Drosophila melanogaster: one gene and its partners. Changing the gene in region 3 together with the main gene of any one other region gives a genetic interaction. Each region holds a gene or a part of one and is shown on either strand. Other genes may lie near its edges.

Region 1 (8,688 bases), on a different chromosome or scaffold from region 3:
TGGCTCGCTTGACTTGCCCCGTGACTTTTGGGCCATCCTCGCCCGATTGGCCAATCTGCCGCTCATCTGGATCGCCAAGGTGCCACATCGATTAATGGGCGTCCTAAATGAGCTCGTTTCCCTCTCGATTAATAACTATTAGGTTAATTGGATCAAGTCGTTGGAAAAATGGCACCTTAATTACTTAAGCTCTGTGATTTTCATTTGGCACTTCAAATTAACAGTTTAGGCTTACCTAATGTTCGCAAAGTTTGTGCTAATATGATACATAAAATGATTAAAATTAAAAGAGGAAGTATATTTGCTCATTAAAGCTAATCTACGCACATATTAACAGGTATTCAAAGCTTTACAAAGTTAATCATACTACAACTATTGCAAGACATTGTGAAAAGTCTTGACCTTTTCCAATGTATCAATTCTCAGACAAACGTATGATTCAATGTTTACTAATAAGTTGTAACTTTAGCCGTTTCGCTGAAAGTAATTAATGAAGTTAGTTAAGGCGGTGCTAACTTAAAATTTTACTGCTAAATGGATTTCAAATTAACATTTAGGATAGTGGAAGCTGAAATTATATACATTAACTTAGCTCATAAAAATACAATTTGGAAACCTCCTAAATATATGCACCACAAGCTTAATAGATCCCTAAAGTATGCAAGTAGATTTAAACAAGTTTGATGCAATCGTAATATATTGAAATGGTTTGTTCAGTTGAGGATTTAATTGATTTCTGAGAATTTTAGATTGTTTAGAACAGATATGTATGGGCATTACAATAATACAAAATTGCATCATCATGCAATTTAGTTATCTACTTACACAGCCCCCCTTCATTGCATTTTATTACGTACTAATTGATAAAGAAATTCTTATGAATCAACAGTGCAGCTGATGTTTCTACGAAATGGCCTCAACTCAGTCATTGGTGCATAATTCGGGGGAAAGGCTATGCTATGAGTAGATATGGCCAAGTAAAATGCATTCTGCTAAGAAGTTCCCGTTTTTCCATGGCGAACGACATCCACTTTGGGCCATAAACATAAGCACACAAGGTAGATCCATTCAGGCACGACTGCGTCAGATGCCGTTTACATGGCGATTACTTGCAGTGTGCGACTTAAAGATGCGGTTTTTTGTCCGCCGTTCTCGGAAATACCAATTGAGTCACCATCTTTCCCAAGCGCCTCAGCACGCTCCAAGGCGGCGACTGGCGGGCTAATTTAAGCGATTCGGATCTGCGGCTCCCATGACGCGTGCGCCAACGGAACTGGCGTTTGCGGCACCCGTTCGGAATATCAAATGTGTTAGAAATATTAGATGGGCTCCAACGTGGGGATAGTTTCATTGGTGGTGGTGCCGAGAGCAGAGCAGTTGTGCTCCGCGAGCTTTGATGCCGAGCTTTGGCCCGGCACCACTTTTACTTTCAGCAGCAACAAGTGCTGGCCGGCACCTTCTCACAGGTCAACTTGACCGACTGTGAGAAGCCCTACACTTGGCTAACATGGGTTTAGCCCGATAGAGAAGGTGGTAATCAACCACCCACTTGCCACAAAGTTTGGTTATTTTCAGCTCGGGGAAATTTCTATATTTTCGGGCTACCTATAAACTTGTTTTCTTTCTGGATTTAAATAAAAGTGATAATTCAATCGCTGCTTCTTTAAGTATACCTAATAAAAAAGCAATAAATCTCTAATCGCGTATGTTCAATAACAAGCGGACAGATAATAGTTAATTACTAAAATGGGTCGACGAAAAGGGCAAATTTGTACATAAGTGTTTATTAAGTACAGTATTCATTATTTCAAACGGAAACTTAATCATCCAAAATGCAGCTTTGATTGACTTCCGCAGATAACAAAGCTCTGACTTCGAGGCATCCAAACATTACTCTGTGGCTGCTCTAACTTTTTCGTAATATTTGTTTTAAAAAATTTTGCGATAACGAAGTTAATTTTTGGTGTCAAATGCCACTCAAACGATATGTACATTTTATGCAAAGCTTTATGGCAACTATGCTGATTAGAATGAATAAAATGTTTGTATGGAATTAGTTTTTGAAAGTATGTTTTTAACTTATGTGTTAAAATAGTACAATTGAGGGTTTGATATTCTTCTTAAAGCTCCAGTGATTTGTATTTGGTTTAACAACAGATGTAATTAAAAACGTTAGTCATTATAGTGTTAGTTTGATGTGCACTTACTTTTCTCCAAGTGTAATATGATTCAGATAATTCCGACTGGTAAAGTTTTTCGTGAAGCAGGCGCAATTAGTAGCACTGCTCGGAGTCAGCTGTGATAAAATCGCGGTCCGCTCGCCCAGACGTCCCGCTCCCTCGCACGACCCTCGCGCTCACTACCCATCCCGCTTCCACCGCCTCTGACCGGCGGCGTCTCGCTCGCGCACAGCGCCCGCTCCCGCTCACACTCTCGCAAGCTAGCTTAAAGCTGCACTTAAGCACTGAGCAATTGTTTGGGGGAGCAGACGAGTCGAGTCGGCGGCCTCTGGGCTCCACTTTTCATTTTCAGTTGCCTCCCAGACGTGCGCTCTCGCTGTCGTGTGTTCTCGATCGCGAGAAATCCAAATCGAAATCGCAGTCGAAATCGAACTTGGTTAATGCTTAACACTCTGCATGCCCGGGAGATATGGTGAAACTCTCGATCTGACCGGAAAATCCCAGCGCGCGTCGCTATAAACACTTAAGATCGGTGGCAGATGGTATCGGGCTTGAGGTCCATAAAAGCGCATTCATCTCGAGCTTTTCGTGTCACTCAAAGACGGCGCACAGAGCCGAAAAGTTGAAGACTCACATATCCTGCGATCAGCTACTTGGATAGCCCATTGCCCAGTTGCAAGCCAAATCGGTTATAAACGATATCAATATCGCGGCATTTCATCAGAGCAACCAAATCGAACCGATCCGAAAACGGTTCCACTAAAGCGGCGAGAGCGAAACTAAAGTGAAAAGCAAACCGACTAATTGAAGTGTCTGTCTGTGTGTCTCGCAAACGTGCAAAGGAAACAAACAAAACGGAATAGCCAACATATCACACAGAGCCACCGCACAAAATATTTATAAATAAATAAGAGGCAACAGTAACACCAGCTACCAGTATAAAGGCCCGGCATTAACATTTAGTCGTGCCAGTTTGTTTATTTTTTATATACGCAAAGCCCATAAAAAGAAAAAAACGCACAGATCACTAAAAAACAACAGCAGCCGGCGCTATAATAACAAAGTTGTAGAAATAAGAAAATTGGTATAAGACGCCACCGATCCGCCAATCACCTGCTATATACTATTACTAATCCCCGACGCAGACGTTCGCCGTCCGCAGAATCTATATATATTTATAAATCCAATTGATTAAGCCCGAGATCGAGCATGATGACGCCCATGTGGATATCGCTGTTCAAAGTCCTGCTGCTGCTGTTCGCCTTCTTTGCCACGGTGAGAAATTTACAATTTTACAAATTTCAAAACAGTCGAACCTCCATAAGGGAAACTTTCAAAAGAAGTTAAAGTTTTAAAATTTAAAGATCTTTGCGTCGAAACAATAATTTATTCCAAATCTATCTAATCTGATAAAAGGTTAAAGTCTCCTTGTCTTCTTAAGACAAGCACTTAAGATCTTAAGACTCCAGAACTTGATTTTTTGTTTATTTGAAACAGGTGCTCGCTTGTTCCAGTTATGAAAGTTCGACTGCATTTCTGTTTTTTTCTGTTCCGTGTTAATCTATGCTTAACATAACTGTCATTTCATTGCAATATATTTCGGGCTATGGGCTTTTTAGCTATTAAGATTTATTTTAGATTTTCCATAGTTGTTCTAGCAGTTCCATTAGCCGAAGGGCAGTTTCAAGTTTAAATTTAGTCACAGACTAGAAAACCTGTTCGCATTGCCAGCGGCAGGTTATGTGCAATTTTCATTCTCTATATGATAAATGCACATCATAGGCATTACAATAATATTAATTGACACAAACAATGCCAGACATTCTGCACACGACTTTGGAAGTAATTTACTGCCGGACAAATTGTATGATCATCTCTGTGAGAAAAGCAATTAGTTCGTATTAATGGCGTCGAATGTTAGAAAATCCGTTTGAAAAGCGCCCGAGAACTTTTGTCTTTCCGGTTTTCCGCGAATTCCGCAGCGGACCGGTTCTAAAGATCGTTTTCAGTTCTAGCTAAATTCCAATAGGTTCACGGAAAACCTAAAACTGTGATGGAAAAACGATCCAATGTTTGCCTTAGTTGCGTCTACGCCAAACACTGATGAACGCGTTTAAAAAAAGGTTGATTGCTAATTGATTGGGAAAAAACATTTCCGAGAAATCGCAAAAGTTCTCAGACAATCAAGTTCAGATGGGTTGGCACCTTAAAGCGGGTTTTCTACATGCTCGTCGAGACCCAATTTTAATTTGGGTAAATTCTGTTGACGATTCCATGGACTCTATTCAAGAATTTAAGCATAATAAAAAGTCTTGACGAGATTAGGGGCTATTATCAAGGCTTATTTATATCACTGCATATACATATATATATAACATAGAAATATTTTAAAGAGTAGCACTAAAAGTGCTGATAATTCTAAAATCGCCAAGCTATTTGCATAATTATGGTCCTCGGATTATCAATACATTAAAAGCAACTATTGGCTTGTTCTTTTATATAAATAACCTTCCGGTTGGATTATGTTGATTTTTATTCAGGATCGGCTTGCCTTTAGATTTTCCAATTATTCAGTCTTTATTGCTTGCGGAAGAGGGACATCCGTTTTCAAGTTGCTAAGCTAGAGGCAACTCTCGAGGGGATTATCAACTCTGATTTTGGACTCTGGCTGTTGTTATATGTATATAGGTTCGGGTCCTAACTCAACGGAACTATAGAATTGCGAGAGAAAACTGCGCTTGCCCGAAAAACAGCTGTTCAAACCTTTTGAATACGCAAATGTAGTGCCCGACAATAGAGAGAGAGAGAGAGAGAAGTCTGGGTTGACAAACAAACGAGCCCGAGCACCGACCCACGAATATATACTCCGTTGTCTTGGCAATGTTGATGAACTGCAAACAAAACTCTCACCTGTATCTTTCAGATAGTTTATATCAATATCGAATTAACGAAGCGACACGAGGCCGAGGTGAGGGCAGAGAAAACAGTGGCAGACTATAAGGCCCTTTTGGCTACCATTAACAATGGCGGACCCGGAAAGTCAGCATCTAATCACTTACAGGTGTGAGCACAGTGTCCCCGAGTGTCCCGAAACAGACCCAGTTGTATCGTTATGCTTAACACCTTAATAGCCTTAATTTGTCTGTGGTGTGGTCAAAACTTCTGAACCGAGACTAAAGTCTATTGTCTTGTCTTTTTATTTCGCCATTTTTGCTACAGTACGAGGCCAAGGAGTATGAACGTATCATCAAAGAGCTTTTTACAATAACCAATGATGAGGGAGTTGTCCTCTTTAATGTAAGTGTATACATAGGCAAATGCATGATTTCTCTGTAAAATGTGTCTTTGATGTGAAACGCAATTCATAGCTTCAAGGACGAATTGGTGCGCTGCTTTCTTATAACTACTCTTCATCCTATATTGCATCCCCATTTCACTGCTCATTTGGTTTCTTATTGGGTTGTGTGTTGTCTTTGTGCTTCCTTTTTTTGCCAATTGGCTAAAGACTAACACGAGTAAATTTTACCCGTACAGACGTCCGCGGACAGTGCACCCTTCATGCCCATACCCACCCAGCACGACGATCCGACCCAGAAACAGAAACAGAATCAGAATCAATCTCCGATACCCGAAACGAACCGCCATTACCATCAGTATCACAGCCTGATCCAACCAGATCAGTACTTCAAAGTGCAGCGCTCCCCGAATGGAAAGCTGAATCTGGTCTTTAACGATACGTTCGTATCTTTGCAGAGGACGGACACGGAGGTGCAATCCGAACAGCCGATACCCCCCCGACATCCATCGGATAGTAAGTACTAAGTATTTTAGCCTATATATGCTCAGTTACATTCGATACCCAAACATGCCTTACAACTAACTACTAAATCGATCCCATACTCACTGGCCAACTGCCTTTGGCGCTTGCCTAATTTTAGCCTTTGTCTTCCCCGATTCCCCCATAGCCAAGTATCGGCCACCACAATCCCCAGCTCGTCCTTTGAGGAATGACACTAAAGAGCACAATCCCTGCGCCAAGGATGAAAGCCAACACCTTAGAAACTTCTGCACGAATGTGGACGACTATCCGGACCTTTCAGGCCTCACACATAAGCTAAAAAACAACTTTGCCAAGTTCTTTAGCAACGATCTTCAGCCCACGGATGTGAGCTCTCGCGTTGGTGGCTCAGACGAGCGATTCCTTTGCAGGAGCATCAGGAAGCTGGTGTACCCAAAAAAGGGCTTGAGGGCGGACGACACCTGGCAGTTAATTGTCAATAACGATGAGTACAAACAGGCCATCCAGATCGAAGAGTGCGAGTAAGTTATAGCTTGAATCTATGATATATTCCATTAGCCTTGCTAATTGCCAAACCTTCCCTTCCAGAGGAGCGGATCAACCCTGTGACTTCGCCGCCAACTTTCCGCAGAGCTATAATCCAATCTGCAAGCAGCACTACACACAGCAGACCCTGGCCAGCATCAAAAGTGATGGCGAACTGGACGTGGTGCAGAATTCCTTCAAGATCCCTTCCTGCTGCAAGTGCGCGTTGAAGACTGGGTGATTCTGGAAAATGGGATTCTCCAGTCGATGGCTGCGACAATGTGATATTGAGGTGAGGCCACGATTTATTCGTACATTAAATTTTAAAAATAGGTACAGAACAGAAACGACTGACTACCAAGAAGTAGAGGATTTCAATGAATCCTTGCGACTTAAGGCGAACGCTTCACTTGACCAACTTGCGCAGGGTCCAGCCGACGGCGTAGAATCCCACCAGCTTTAGGGCCATTCCCTTGCTTTCAGCCTTCACCAAATGCTTAAACTTGTTCTCGAAATTGCCAACGACGCGATCCATCGGAATGAGATAGTATAATGTCTGCAATTCAGAAGTCTTGAAAATATGTTCGAATGCGGATTTTCGAACTGTGCTTTATCAAGTATTGTACTTAAATTCAAGAATAATGTTTCTTGTGATTCGAAGAGTCAAACTTTTCAGACTGAGACTACAACTCTAAATATGTATACAGCTTCATTGACATTATTTCCTTGTTAACTAGACCAAAAATATAAATTGTATCTCTTCTCTTTGCAGCAAGAAGTTTCACCCACCACAGAATGGCAGGCCAAACTGATCAGTGGTCATTGATTTATTCTATAATCTGCTGAATCCACACATAGACCAATGTGCATATTAATTTAGAGCTTTAAGTCGAGTCATTTTAACCATATTCGTGTCATATATTCATTTTTGACTTCCACGTCTAATGCCTAAGCTAGAAATGCAAGTAATTAGTCCTAGAATAAAAACAAAACAAAACACAAAACACAAAAAAAAAAACAAGAAAGATAGAAATAACGATTTGAAAAATGTATGTTAAAAAAAGATAATGTATAATAAATGTATGCAAGTACATGCCAGCAAAGTAAAGTTCTTTGAACCCATCAGCGAGTACCTGGTGGACAATTTATTTGCTTATTAACAATAATTCGGTTCGCCCCGCTGCGCAAACCAATTACACCCTAGTGAGTGTAAACACATTCCCCCAAAGGGGTGGTGGTTGGCTTTCACCGGCAAAAGGATAACATGCATCGACTTCGGCTTCCTGGCGCTGGATTTTTCCAACTGTCAGCGGGGCGTATGCGCGATGTGTCTTGAGGTGCTGGCGCTGGCACATGTGGAAATCAATAGTATTTATCGATTCCCAGACACAATAAACTATGTCAAAGTTAGGCCGAACAATGCGAATGCTTGTGGATTCGTTGTGGGCGGGCAAAGTGCCACAATTTAATTACTATTATTAGGTATCCTTCCCGTTTGGCCAAATCCAGTGTCGTGCCCTGGTCGATTGGGCATTGGCCAGGGTCATCAATCATGCACATCCCCAACAGCCACACACAGCCGCGTCCATATCAATTAGCAACTATCCATATATCTCCGCCCACCGATTTTATATATGTATATATATAATCGTAGAGTTTGGATTGCCCTTTGTAATGTACTTTTTCTCATTACGCCACTGGCTCCGTTGCGCGGATTGTGGTCACTTGGCGTCCCTTCGTGTTCTGTTCTGATTCACTGTGGAAATACACTGGAACTTGTATTCGAACGCCGCATACCTCAGATTAATACCTTAATCACTTAGCAATACTAGTCAGGTTGCACGACAAAGGTGCACGTTTAATACATAATCACAGTCAGCGTTTACACATCTGTATATTAAGTACGCCTGCGTTATCGGTGCTAATTACTTCTAAATCATTTGTTAAGTAATGCTCCATATATAATATTGCTGTATATTAGCTACAAACCATTTCGCGAAACGGAGCGACCCTAGCCCTAATGGATACAATGGAACTAAAAACAAGGATATGGACAACATGCAGGACAGTCAGACAGTGTCGGCGTTTTTGGGTGGGAATGGAGATGGGCTAGTGGGTCGCATTGGTGGCTCGTAATTGCCGCAGCACATTTGCATGGCCGAAGGAGTTAATGGGGGTTGCCTG
Region 2 (6,026 bases), on a different chromosome or scaffold from region 3:
AGATCAGATGATTCATGGGAGGCATGCCGCTGGGATTTTACCACCGGCTAAAGACGTGTACTGCCAACTGATATCGCAGCTACGTCGGTAATAACCGATACGAAAGTAACACCTGACAATTATGCTGCTCAATTGAGCAGAGAGTCGTCAATGTGTCTGCAGTTCAACTGAATCATATATATCCGATTGAAGCAATGCAAAAGTGTCATGACATCACCTGTTATCGGCCCAAATGAAATTGTATTAAATAGGTATGCGATTGCTAATCAGCTTCCGGCCTTCCGCAGTAATTGCCCATTGTAAACACGACGAAATCAAAAGTAGAACATGCAATACATAGCCCCACATCCCCACATCCCGCAATCCCAATGTCCATTGTCCACTGTTCACTGTACACCGACGTCCGCCTTATCGAACGCACCTTTGACACGACCTTTTTTCGGTCTCTGATAAGGGAGTAGTACGTCTACGTATCGATGTCGTTTATTGAGTGCGTCGAGCACTGTGGTGACTATGGCAATCGGGCACCGCACAATACAATACAATTTAATTCAATACCACATAAACAAAACAAAATCCAAGGGAATTACGAAAAAAAAAAATAAAAAATAAAGAAAAAAACACCGCAAAAAGCACACCAGCAGAGTCAATAAAGCTAAAAACCGGTGGCTATCACAAATCGCGGCGGTATGGAATCTGCTGGCTATTTTCCCGGCTCTGACCGCTCAGCAACGCATCGCCCAAGCAACTGAAGCCAAGCTTCTGAGCCCCAGCTGGAGCTGGAGCTGGAACCGATGAGGCCCATTTAGACGTCGACCAAGAAGCGCCGGACCCAGCAGCTGATAGCACCCAGAGCCGATCCTCTCCCGCTGAGCGGCGAACCGGTTTCCCATTCCACCACTTCGCAGAATCGCAGAACGATCCGAAGCGATCAGAAGCCAGAGCACACAAAGCACAAAGGCAGCCTGTAATTAGCGAGTGGGTAAGCAACAGGCGAGCGGTATGGACTAAAGGATACCGCGTAAGGTCTATGCTGCGCTTGGTGACCCCGATATTTACACCTTTAAAAGTCGAGTATAATTGTGTCACAGAATCGTGTTTTAGAACTTACCATATATATAGTTTCAATTGCAGTAATCTTGTTTTTTTTTTTTTTGTATAATTCTTCTCTAATTAAAGTGGTGACCCAGATACTTACTTTCTTGCCTAGGTTGCGACCTAGGTGGTGACCCAAGAAGTCCTTTTCAACTTATAGTCTGAAACATATGCTTAAAATTTAAATTTCTTATGACAAATCTTTCTGAAATAAATGCATTCTGTTTGTATTTCCCCATTTTTTTTATACAGTGCAGCAATTCAATAAAAGTGGTGACCCAGAAATCCCTCTAAAATTAAACAGAACCAGAAAAATCACTTCACAGAGTTCTGGAAACCGAACTGCCAGAAATAATATTGTACCGATTGATTATATCTTAAAACGTATCTACTTTATTGGTATTAAATGGTTCGATCGCGGTGCTCATAGAGATCACAGATGAGTGTTTGCCAATTGCGATGGATCAGGCAGTCCTGATCCCAAATAGAAATAATATACATACAAAAAAAACAAAAACTTTACTTTTCCCAACTTTACACCCGATTGTCCGGCCAGACAATGCCCTCGATAAAGTCCAGATAGGACGAGACACGCGTATAGAGTCCCGGTGTGACGGTGGCGCATCCGAATCCCGACGAGATGACGCCCATGATGGTGTACATGCCGTCCTCCACGTTGAGCTCATGAATGAGCGGCCCACCGGAGTCGCCCTTGCATGCGTCGGCGATGAGCTTTTGATCAATGGCGCACAGCAACGAATCGATCACGCCCTGCTTGAGCAACCTTATGGAACCGGGCTGCTCCGCATAGGATATATTGCATTGGTCCAGAGGCACCAGCTCCAGACCAGCGCGCAACAGGATCTTAGATCGCGCCCGAGCTGCGGATGGTTAGCCATTAGTGGAAGTGGAGGATATGGAACTTTTTGTGCTACCCACTGGTTACATTTAGGACGCCCCAACCGGCGACAAAGAACTTGGAGTTCGATGGCGGATCGGTGGCATCCGTATGGAGACAAGCGGGCCGGATGTTATCCGTCTCGACGACATCACGTTCCAGTTCCAAAATGGCGATATCGTTGTACTTATTGCCCACATACTGCGGATGGATCTTAACGCTTCGCTGAGATATGGTATCGATCAGAATGGCTATAACTTAATGCATAAGCACAGTGACTCACTATGACGATATCCTGGTAGGAATGGTCTGGATTTTCAATGTTCACAGCTCCCAAGCGAACAAAGGCCGGCGTATTGGCATCGGTGTTGACACAATGTGCGGCGGTCAGGACGAAGCGACTGGCGATTAGCGATCCGCCGCATCGGAAATCGGTGCCAAAAGTGATGTAACCAATGGCCGCCATATGGGGATATACACCCGGATCAACCGGATAACCGCCCACGATGTGTATGACCAATTGATTGCCGCTCCTCTGCTGTTTTCGCTCGCGAATCTTCTTGCAGGCTATATCGTGGGATTGGAAATAAGTAGAGGAACTCTAGGAGTGATCTGATCAAAAGAGTAAGCACCTGCCACTGCTGGGCGATCACCGCTTCCGAACGTGGGCACATCGACACGACCACTGGTCATTGGAGCTTTTGTGCTTGTGGTGGAGCTTGTGGAAACGCTTGTTATGGTACTGCAAAGGCAAACAACCCATTTCTATGTGATCCCAATGGAAGCAATTCGCGGATTACCTATTGTCACAGCACGGCTTGGTGGGACAGCAGAAGATCTCACCCCAAGCGCCGAGGCCACAGCTGGGCACATCGTTGAGCGTCAGGACTCCCGACTTGATGTAGCCATCGATTAGGGGCTCACAATCGGAGGATGTTCTGCAGATACCGGGCATGGTATCCGTCACCTTGCAGGCCCGACCCACTGAAACAAACGCAAGATTCGAGTCGGGCAAATACTTGATGTGACCTGGCTGAGATCGGAACTCACCTGTGACGGCTGCTTCCACGGAGGAGCAGCTGATGAGCACAAAAGTGCCGAGTAGCAGGGACCACTTCAATGGCATCTTAATTCGCTGCAATTAATGGAGAATGTAAATGAATGAGCTTCGCCATGATTTTCTGATTACAATAAACCAGCAGCCATTGACCAACTTATTGAGTACAGATGCTAGACATGAACTACAGTCACTCCTGGCATTGGAGGGCCAAGTGGGTGAGGAAAACTCAAGATTATTTTTTTCTTCAAGGCAGTATTTCACCATCCAACGGAAAACATAACATGGAAAGGTTGGATCGGTTGATTCACCTTTTTTTTTTGGCGACTGTAATCTTCGTTCTGTCACTCAGTACGAGGGGTATTTATAGCTGATATCGAAAACCTCCTAAACTATCTGAGTTGGGGATTTGTTTCTGATAAGGACAGAATGCTGTTTAGTTTGGATAGAGCCGCTTACGCTTATTGATTGTGAGTGCTGAACTAGCTTGCAGTAATTATAAGCTAATCACATGTATGATTGTACGACTTATGCTCATGGCACGAACCTTCCACGGAACCCACCTTCGACACAACCTTTTGCCAGACTTTGATAAGGGAATACGTCGCTGTTTCGATGTTCTTCGAGTGCACCGATCACTCCGAGTATGGCAATCGGAAGCACAGCACAAAAACACAAGGAATACAATACAATAAATCAAGCAAAACACGAGGAAACCAGCAAAAACAAAACTGCACACGACGTAAACTCAATGGAGCTTTAAAACCGGTGGCTATGGCGGAGAGAATCTGACCGATATGGTCACAGACGCGGCGGATTGAAACGGTCAGGCTGGGACGACGGTTCTGACCGCTCAGTAAAGCATCTCCAGTGCAACTGAATCCCAATCTGTGACTAGTCCAATCTACACACTAGGCGGCAATAGATTGCTCTCCAACCGGTTTTCATCTCTGAAAGATTCTTGAATCCAGAGCCACAACCGATCCGAAATAATCGGAAAACCCGAGCAATGCTTTTATGAATAATTAAACATAAATAAATATAAGAGGAGATCGTTTTTCAGCGGAATTAGCAATGAGTTTCTTATGCTGCATAGTCCAAACTGTAATGACACAGTCTCCTCCCTTTGAATTTGTATATCAAAGAACTAAGAGCAGTACTTAAGATGTAACTGTTTCGAAACGAGACCTTCAACAATTCCAAGTGCTTGATTTATGCGAACAAATAGCGAATAAAGTCATCATGTGTGCAAATATTTGCAAATTTATGCAATAACTAAACGTAACTTGAAGGCGCTGTTTACTCTATTAACTTTTGAATGAACAGAGAGAATTGTAATAAATATATAAAATTTATTTATAATGTTTCTTATATTAATTTACTTACTACAATGAGGTTTTGGGTAGATGTTAACTGGTATATTCTTAGGCATAAAAGTACAGTCAGATCGTGTTCAGTGTGACCATGCTGCTCCAATTATTTCACAAGCTGATGCTTGCGAAATCAATTTCACTTCTGCGTTCTTCTCATCCAATTTATACATTATTTGCATAGATTGTTCTAACTTAACCTGGATGACTACTTCTGCTCCTGCTCCACAAACCGCCTGAACGGCGGACTCAGCAGACCCGTGAAGTACATGGTCCGTGCCTCGCACTCAGCCCCCGTGGGCGTGGCAACCCCAATGACGCAGCGACCTCCGCCCGGTCGCACCAGATGGAGTACACTGCCCACGGAAGCCGGACAGGCGGCGCAGGTGCTGCTGTTGGAGAACCGCTGCAGCTCCCTTTCGCCGTCCATCGGCTCCACGCAAAGATGTGAGCTGCCCAGATCCTGAACTCCGCCGTAATTGGGTAGATCCCCGCAGGCCCATGTGGGACGCAGTCGCATGGGCATCTCGAACAGCGGACAGTCAGTGTCTGAAAGAGCTTTATTCGTTTAGTTGGAACTCCTTGGATGAGTATGCTATAGCTCACCTTCACCCTTGCCCCAACCCACGGCCACTAGGCTGCCGCTACGCTGCAGCCTGGTCAGCTCGAACTGGGTGCAAATGGGAGCCACGCTCACATTCGCGGAGGTCTGACTGCCCAGACGCAGTGGGTCCTGCAATCGTATAAGTGATAGATCCTTTTGAAATTGAACCAGGCGCTAAAATATTCGACATTTTAGATTTGATGTACATGGGCAAGGACTGATGGACTCACCACTATATCCGCCAGATAGTCCTCGTCGGCGTCAACGTCCCGCAGATCAGCCACTCCGAAAACAGCATGACTTGGTCGCTCGCAGCCAGCGGCGCTGACCAGGAGCTGGGGCGTCAGTACCAGGGCGGCACAGTGATGCAGGTGGCCATCGAAGGCGGCATTCGGATGTGCCAGCGAAGCCAGATGGCGGTAGTGTGGCAGTAGCCTATCCGCCCGTGCAATGGCGGCCAGCTCTAGCGGATCCTCGGCAGCTTTGCCCTCCGACGAATCACCCTGGACACCCAGCCGCAAGCCGGTGTGGACGCGTGGCTGCAGCGGCAGATTGAGCGGACAGCAGATGATCTCCTCGTGCGTTCCCTCGCGGCACGTTGTGAAATCCTCGTCCCTGAGACGACCCTGCGACAGGAGTGGCTCCACACTGGGGCAGGCGGATACGGCACGACACTGGCCCTCGTACAGGGGAGCCGTGCAGTCGGCGCCATCGGAGGTGTCTCTGAAGGTGATGCTCTCCCTCGTTGGCCGGTGCGTGGACCCAATGGATTGCTGGACGTAATCGCGATCCGTCTTGAATATGCTCAGCCAAGGTTCTGGCGCTGGAGTTGTGGTAGTAGTGGTGGTTGTGGTGGAAGTAGTAGTAGATGTTGTGCTGGTAGTAGTAGTAGTTGTAGTTGTACTGGTGGTGGCCGCCGTGGGATCTAACCGCACCTCGCTCTGGGCATCCTCGACGGGACAGCAGATCTTCTCGCTGCGCGTGGTGAAGCCACAGTTCATC
Region 3 (5,645 bases):
CCGCAAGCGACAGCCAATGGCAGCCGACTGCTTGAGGTCCGTCAAAAGGGTCTCGAAGTCCTGCACCGCAAGCTTCGGGTGACTGGCGTGGGTCAGCTCCAGAGCCTGGCGGAGTTGGCTACCGTACTCCGAAGAACTTTCCGCATACAGCAGGCTGAGCGCCGCCTGTATAAGCAAGGGGGAAACCACCACATTTGCATCTGGTTGAGTTAGTCCCAACTTAGTAGTTAGGCGTAGGCCAAAGCGGTTACTCGAGACGCTGGCCGGCGATCTGGCCAAGAGCTCCCCGTCGACTGGAAGCGTTAAAGCTATAGCCAGGCCCACAAGTAGGGCGGAAAGAAGTCTCCAGTGGATCATGTTTTGGGAAATACCAAGCTTCGACTAATGCTAATGTTAATGATCCAGTGGCTTACACACAACTAGGCTACGCGCTCATTCAAGGAAATTCAAATTATATTGAGACATTGAGGTCATTGATTGGAGAGGTCCAAAGCCAAAGTCAGAGCTCGGCATTGAAGGTCTTGGGTGATACGGAACGATTCGAGAGGCGGAGAGCTCGAAGTTCTCAGAGAGATTCACTGGGAGAGGTAGCAAGCGATTCTATCCAGTTTTCGTTTCGCGCTTGAGAAAATTTCAAGTTCGGAAGCTAACTCACTCACTCTTAATTCGACACTGCAACACAAAAGGTGCAGACATTTTGATTGCCTTCGTAATCAAATGAATGTAGAATAGCAAATCAGAAATCTGAAATTCTAAACTTTCATTTCGGAGGGGTAACTGATGTATATAATCATTAGAATTATTACTATAAGAATAATGGTGACATTTTAATTAGATCATCTCTAATTGTTTTTTATTTAGCAATTTAATAAGTTTTAGCAGCAGAGATTTGAAATGGGCTATCTGAGGGATGAAGCGTTTTTCGCGATATTTAATTATTCATTAGTAGGTACCTACTACCTACTCTTTAACACCTTCCAATATCAGAAAGAACCCCAAATTTACAACGTAGTTTTGTTGAGTGTAGGCAACCTTGAGTAAGCGCCATTAATTATGCCCAGCTTTCAGCGGGTATTTCAATTACTCATACCGCAGTCTTACAATTCTCAGCCCCATTGCTCCCCCAAAATGGGTTACCCTGCACTCCATCCTCGGTGATCTCAAGTGAGATCTAGTGCGCATGAGGAAGCTTCGCTCATTTTGAAAAATGATTGAGAAATCCGCCTTTGATTTACGGCCGTGGATGCGAGGACAAGAGGGCAGGAGGAGTGCCGCGGCTCCAAAACGGGTTTGCCAACTTACAGAAGCGGGCAAAAACCATTCGCTGGAAATCCAGAATAGCCAAGAGCCCCGGCAAACAACTGGGAAAAGGCACAATGGCAATACCTGCTACTACTGCTGCTCCGGATCGCCGTGTGATCGACACGGAATCCCATTGCTCTTATCAGCGAAACGGGGTTATCAAAGTTCAGTTTCCATAAATACAGCGTCATACTTTATTATTATTATTCACAAATGCAACGGGCAAGGCTCTACTCAGAAATGGAATTCTAATAAATCAATTTGTCCGAATTTGGTTCATTTTAGACGCTCATGGGCGTGGGATACTCCACGTGACCTATGAACAGAACTGAGGCGGGTGTGCGGACGGCGAAGACGAATGGCCGGTTGGCGACGAACTCCGTGGGCTTGGGAGGCAGCGAAAGGGGTACGAACTTGGCATCTGGGAAAGAGATTGGGAGATAATTAGTCACAGGATTCGGGGGTGTTGATGGTCTTCAGAACTTACAGGAAGCTGCCGAGGCCTCTGTGCCCGCCTCGCCCACATTGATGTAGGCCTTCTGCAGGATCTTGCTCACGCGCACCGGCTGATCCATCAACTTGGTCACCTGCGAGTTGGGCGTGAACATCTGGTGGACTCCCAGGTTCTTTAGCGGCTCGGTCATGTCCTGCTCGAACTCGAATTGGAACTTGGGCAGGCGCACAGCGACCGACTGGCGGCGCAGGCGGTGGGCAACGCGGTTGAGATCGAACTCCGGCCGGGACAGCTGCTGCAGCATTTTGCCCAGTCCGGTGGTCTCATTGGGCAGCAGGATTAGCATGCTGGTGGCGCTGTCCTTGTAGGCCAGTTCCAAGGCGGTGGCGCCCAGCTCAGGCAGCTCGGCCAGGCCGTACACATCGTCGTTGAACATCATGGCCACCTTGGAAATTCTGCCGTTGGTGTGCTGAAAGTCGTAGGGTGATGTGTCCATGGTGGCGAATTCGTGCTCCCAACGACCCTGGAAGTAGACTGCATTCACAAGGAGCGCCTGCGTCTGTGGGTCAACGTCGGTCGGTGTGACCAGGTCCCGGATCTTGTTCCGCGTCGTGTCCATCACCCAGGCGTTGATCTTGGCTGCCGTGTCTTTGGCGTTCTGCATGTCGACAGCCTCCGTGCCGGCGCTGAAATAGAACTTTGCGTACTCATCGTAGCTGTGGTTGACGCCACCCAGCTCGCGGTTGTAGTAGACCTTGGTTGCCAGGGTCAGATCTGCGCCCTCCAAATGCTTCTTGTACTTGATCACGCTCTCGAAGTCCTGGGCCACGGCCATGGCGTTCTTGCTGAACTCTCCGGCCTTCTGCAGTTCCCGGAACGTTTTTCCGTCCGAGGCCCCGTAGATCAGGGCCAGCAGCGCGTGGACGGAGAAGGGCGAGAACACCACGTTCTGCTGACTTTGCGACTTAATGATCTCCTTGAAGAGCTCGGAGCTGAAGCGGTCCATGTAGCTGAAGACGGGCGGCGGGCGATTGGGTGGCGGAGTGACCGGCTCACGTTTGGTTAGGTCCACCGCCACCACATCGCTTATGGCTTCCTGATTGTTCTGGGTCCACGGGTTTCCGGGCAGGGAACGGAGGCCCAGCTCCGGTCTTGGGTTACGTTGGTGTTGTTGCTGCTGCAGCAGCAGTTGCTGCTGTAGCTGCAGTTGCTGCTGTTGCTGCTGTTGTTGTTGCCGTTGCCAAGCGATGAGCTCCTGGGCGAAGGTCTGAGCAGCCAGAAGATGGACGGTTAGCAGGAGAAGGATCGCTGTAGGAATAGGAAAACATTATAGCTTTTCGCGGGCGACTCTTGGATGGATTTTCCACAACTCACAGACTTTGCTCGCCATGTTTCTTATCTGTTATTTCTAGCTGGAAACCTTCTAAATGAATGTATTCTTCCGATTAGCCGATCAGCTCGTTTTCAGCTGCGCTACAAAACTGATCGTTGCAAAACCGATCTCTAGCAGCAGAGCAGATACGAGCTATACGGCGATTGGAAGAGAGAACCGGTCCACAACCATAGCTGCTATGCTAAGGAGAAGCGTTCGATTATCAAATCGAATGGAGAGTTCTGTGGAAGTGACTCTCCTGACTCTCTCATCTCGAATGGGAAAAGCCCGGCTACGATTTCAATTACACAGAGGAAAACACACAATATGTAATATGCACGTTGTATATGGCGAAGCTTTTCCCTGCACCTATCCCTGGCATCTTAGTCCGCGATTCGCGTGGGTTGCCGTTCTAGCCGCCACTGGAGAGTTAAGGATGTGACTCACCGCTGGGGATTCGGTGAAAGAAACCTGTTTAGTTTTCCGTCTATTTATAGATCCACTATCTCGGGCGCTGAATCTACTCATAACTCCTGCATTTCCTGCTGACATTTCCACGCTGTCGTCCATTAAATAACCTTTCCATTTTACATAACCGACCCATAAACATGACGAGAACTAATTAAGTATTCCCCGGTGGCTGGAGAGAGCCCCCAATCTCCCGGATAAGACCCCACAGCCTCGGATTCCCTGCCTATCTAATGTCTAATTATGTAAAGCCGCACACGAAATGCATTTCATATCAGCACTTTTCCCCAATCCCCACACGATTCTTCCCCAATCTTGCCTGGTTTACGGTGACCCAATTGCAGGCGGCCGAATGTGTAAACATAATTTACTCCAATTAGAGTGTGGTGCCACGCCCCTACTCCACCGCCGCCCGGCAGCCCACTGGAAAGTGGGGCACGACGGAGTGCATCGCTGATATGAATGCGAGTTTGAGTGCCGGGCCAGAATGCAATCGATAAGTAGAGGAGGAGTGTTTGGGAAGCAGTCTAGTTAATTGCGCTGCACCAGGTGGGCTCAGCTCGGCTCATTCCGCTTCCATTCAGTTCTGCCGCGTGTGTTTGTTCCGGCTGATATGACGTCTAGTGTTTTGCCCGATCAAACAAAGGCTGGCCTCCGACTTATCGCAGGGTTACGGAGGTGTCACCACCCTCCACTCCGAATCGATCTAGCCGTTTAAATGGCAGTAGGTTTCGATCGGAGCATCCAGCTGCAATTAGGGGAATTTCCCCAGAAACACCTACGGTTGTCAACTGGAAAGCTTTATCATAACTTAAACAATTGGAATCGACAAAAAAATCAGTGACGCTGCCTGAATAAATTATAGTAAGTAATACTTGAATTTGTATGGGGTGTTCACTAGTTTAGAACTAATCATTTCACCAATCATTTTGAAATTTATTGGATAAGATTCCACAGACTAGGAATTACCATGAAAGTGCTTTAACGTTATGTATTTCAGGAGTATAATAATTTTCTGATCACATATGTGATTATCTGCGCACATTCGTAGTATAAAGTTTTAATTAAGTAATCTTTTGAATCAGTCTTTGTTTTTGCGTTACTCCTTTTCATTCAGATACATTTCATTAGACTTACCAACAGATATTCGAATTATACACATAATTTCAAGATGTTTTAAAATGAAAACGAATTATTTTATCAAGCTATCGCTCGTGCTTCCAAAACTATTCCACCCAATTTGCTTAAATTACCTGGCCAATTACCCAGACACCCCCGCACCACGGACCGTGAACCGCAGGTGGTGACAGCAACCGCATGGAAATATTGCAAGTTGTCACCGGGGCGATGCCTCAATTAGTGGCAGCATGTTGCTGGCACTGGTACTTGTGCTGGTGCACCACGACCGCAGGAGCAGCTCACCACCGACGTTGTTTGCGAGTCATTAATTGGGGAGCCGCCGGAGAGTCAGGTGGTCATCAGAGGGGGGGGGGGGTGTGATGCCAGGGGATGCAGTGCAGCGGAGGTGGCAAACGAGGAGCGATTGCTGTCCGTGGGCGGCTTACACCGAAATTGCATTAAATTGCGCGTTGGCCGCACGATTTGTCCGATTTGCATATAATTATGGCGAATAAATCATAAGGCTGCCGCGTGGCCATCACAATATTTACACATGCAATTTGCATCCGAGTTGCTCTGAATCTGACAGCATGTTGCTAACGAGCTGAGCAAAAGGCCAAGAATCGGCATCCGGGGCAGCATCAATTAAAGCGACATAAAGGAAACTTGTAATTTCCATGTGGCCTAATCATAGTCGGCATTCTTTCTTCTGGCATCGCCATTCCCTTCCTTTTGCAGCACAGCTCATGCATTTAGCAGCGTTTATAGAAATTGCCAGCCCACAAACTCCCCCTTCCTTGTTTATAGCACTCGATGCACTCGGAGAAACTCTAGCAGTTCCGCATAGGTATTTCAAATTTACTAATTTATTGCAAATAGTAAATCTACTAAAGATGATGTATATCTGATGCCTTAGCAAAAGTTGCTTGT

Evidence for each region.
Region 1: of nec (region 3) and spz, changing one suppresses a phenotype caused by changing the other (phenotypic suppression), as found in Drosophila melanogaster (one study listed by BioGRID).
Region 2: of nec (region 3) and psh, changing one suppresses a phenotype caused by changing the other (phenotypic suppression), as found in Drosophila melanogaster (one study listed by BioGRID).

What each region holds. Positions count from the first base shown.
Region 1 is NT_033777.3:27,063,911-27,072,598, reverse strand, and holds spz (spatzle), read left to right. Parts: upstream 1-2,528; 5' UTR 2,529-3,389; coding exon 3,390-3,455; intron 3,456-5,103; coding exon of another isoform or gene 5,104-5,241; intron 5,242-5,399; coding exon 5,400-5,477; intron 5,478-5,714; coding exon 5,715-5,991; intron 5,992-6,118; coding exon 6,119-6,500; intron 6,501-6,567; coding exon 6,568-6,745; 3' UTR 6,746-6,796; exon of another isoform or gene 6,797-6,910; coding exon of another isoform or gene 6,911-7,039; exon of another isoform or gene 7,040-7,163; intron 7,164-7,276; 3' UTR 7,277-7,511; downstream 7,512-8,688. Other genes in the region: CG43935 (uncharacterized protein), read right to left, coding at 6,911-7,039. UniProt on the Drosophila melanogaster protein: The activated form, spaetzle C-106, acts as a ligand for the Toll receptor. Binding to Toll activates the Toll signaling pathway and induces expression of the antifungal peptide drosomycin.
Region 2 is NC_004354.4:18,483,020-18,489,045, forward strand, and holds psh (persephone), read right to left. Parts: upstream 3,903-6,026; 5' UTR 3,614-3,902; intron 3,129-3,613; 5' UTR 3,120-3,128; coding exon 3,044-3,119; intron 2,978-3,043; coding exon 2,794-2,977; intron 2,736-2,793; coding exon 2,626-2,735; intron 2,561-2,625; coding exon 2,277-2,560; intron 2,219-2,276; coding exon 2,035-2,218; intron 1,977-2,034; coding exon 1,630-1,976; 3' UTR 1,468-1,629; downstream 1-1,467. Other genes in the region: CG15046 (uncharacterized protein), read right to left, coding at 4,629-4,969, 5,027-5,198, 5,255-6,026.
Region 3 is NT_033778.4:7,155,002-7,160,646, forward strand, and holds nec (necrotic), read right to left. Parts: upstream 3,241-5,645; 5' UTR 3,147-3,240; coding exon 3,131-3,146; intron 3,065-3,130; coding exon 1,790-3,064; intron 1,724-1,789; coding exon 1,584-1,723; 3' UTR 1,476-1,583; downstream 1-1,475. Other genes in the region: Spn43Ad (serpin 43Ad), read right to left, coding at 1-357.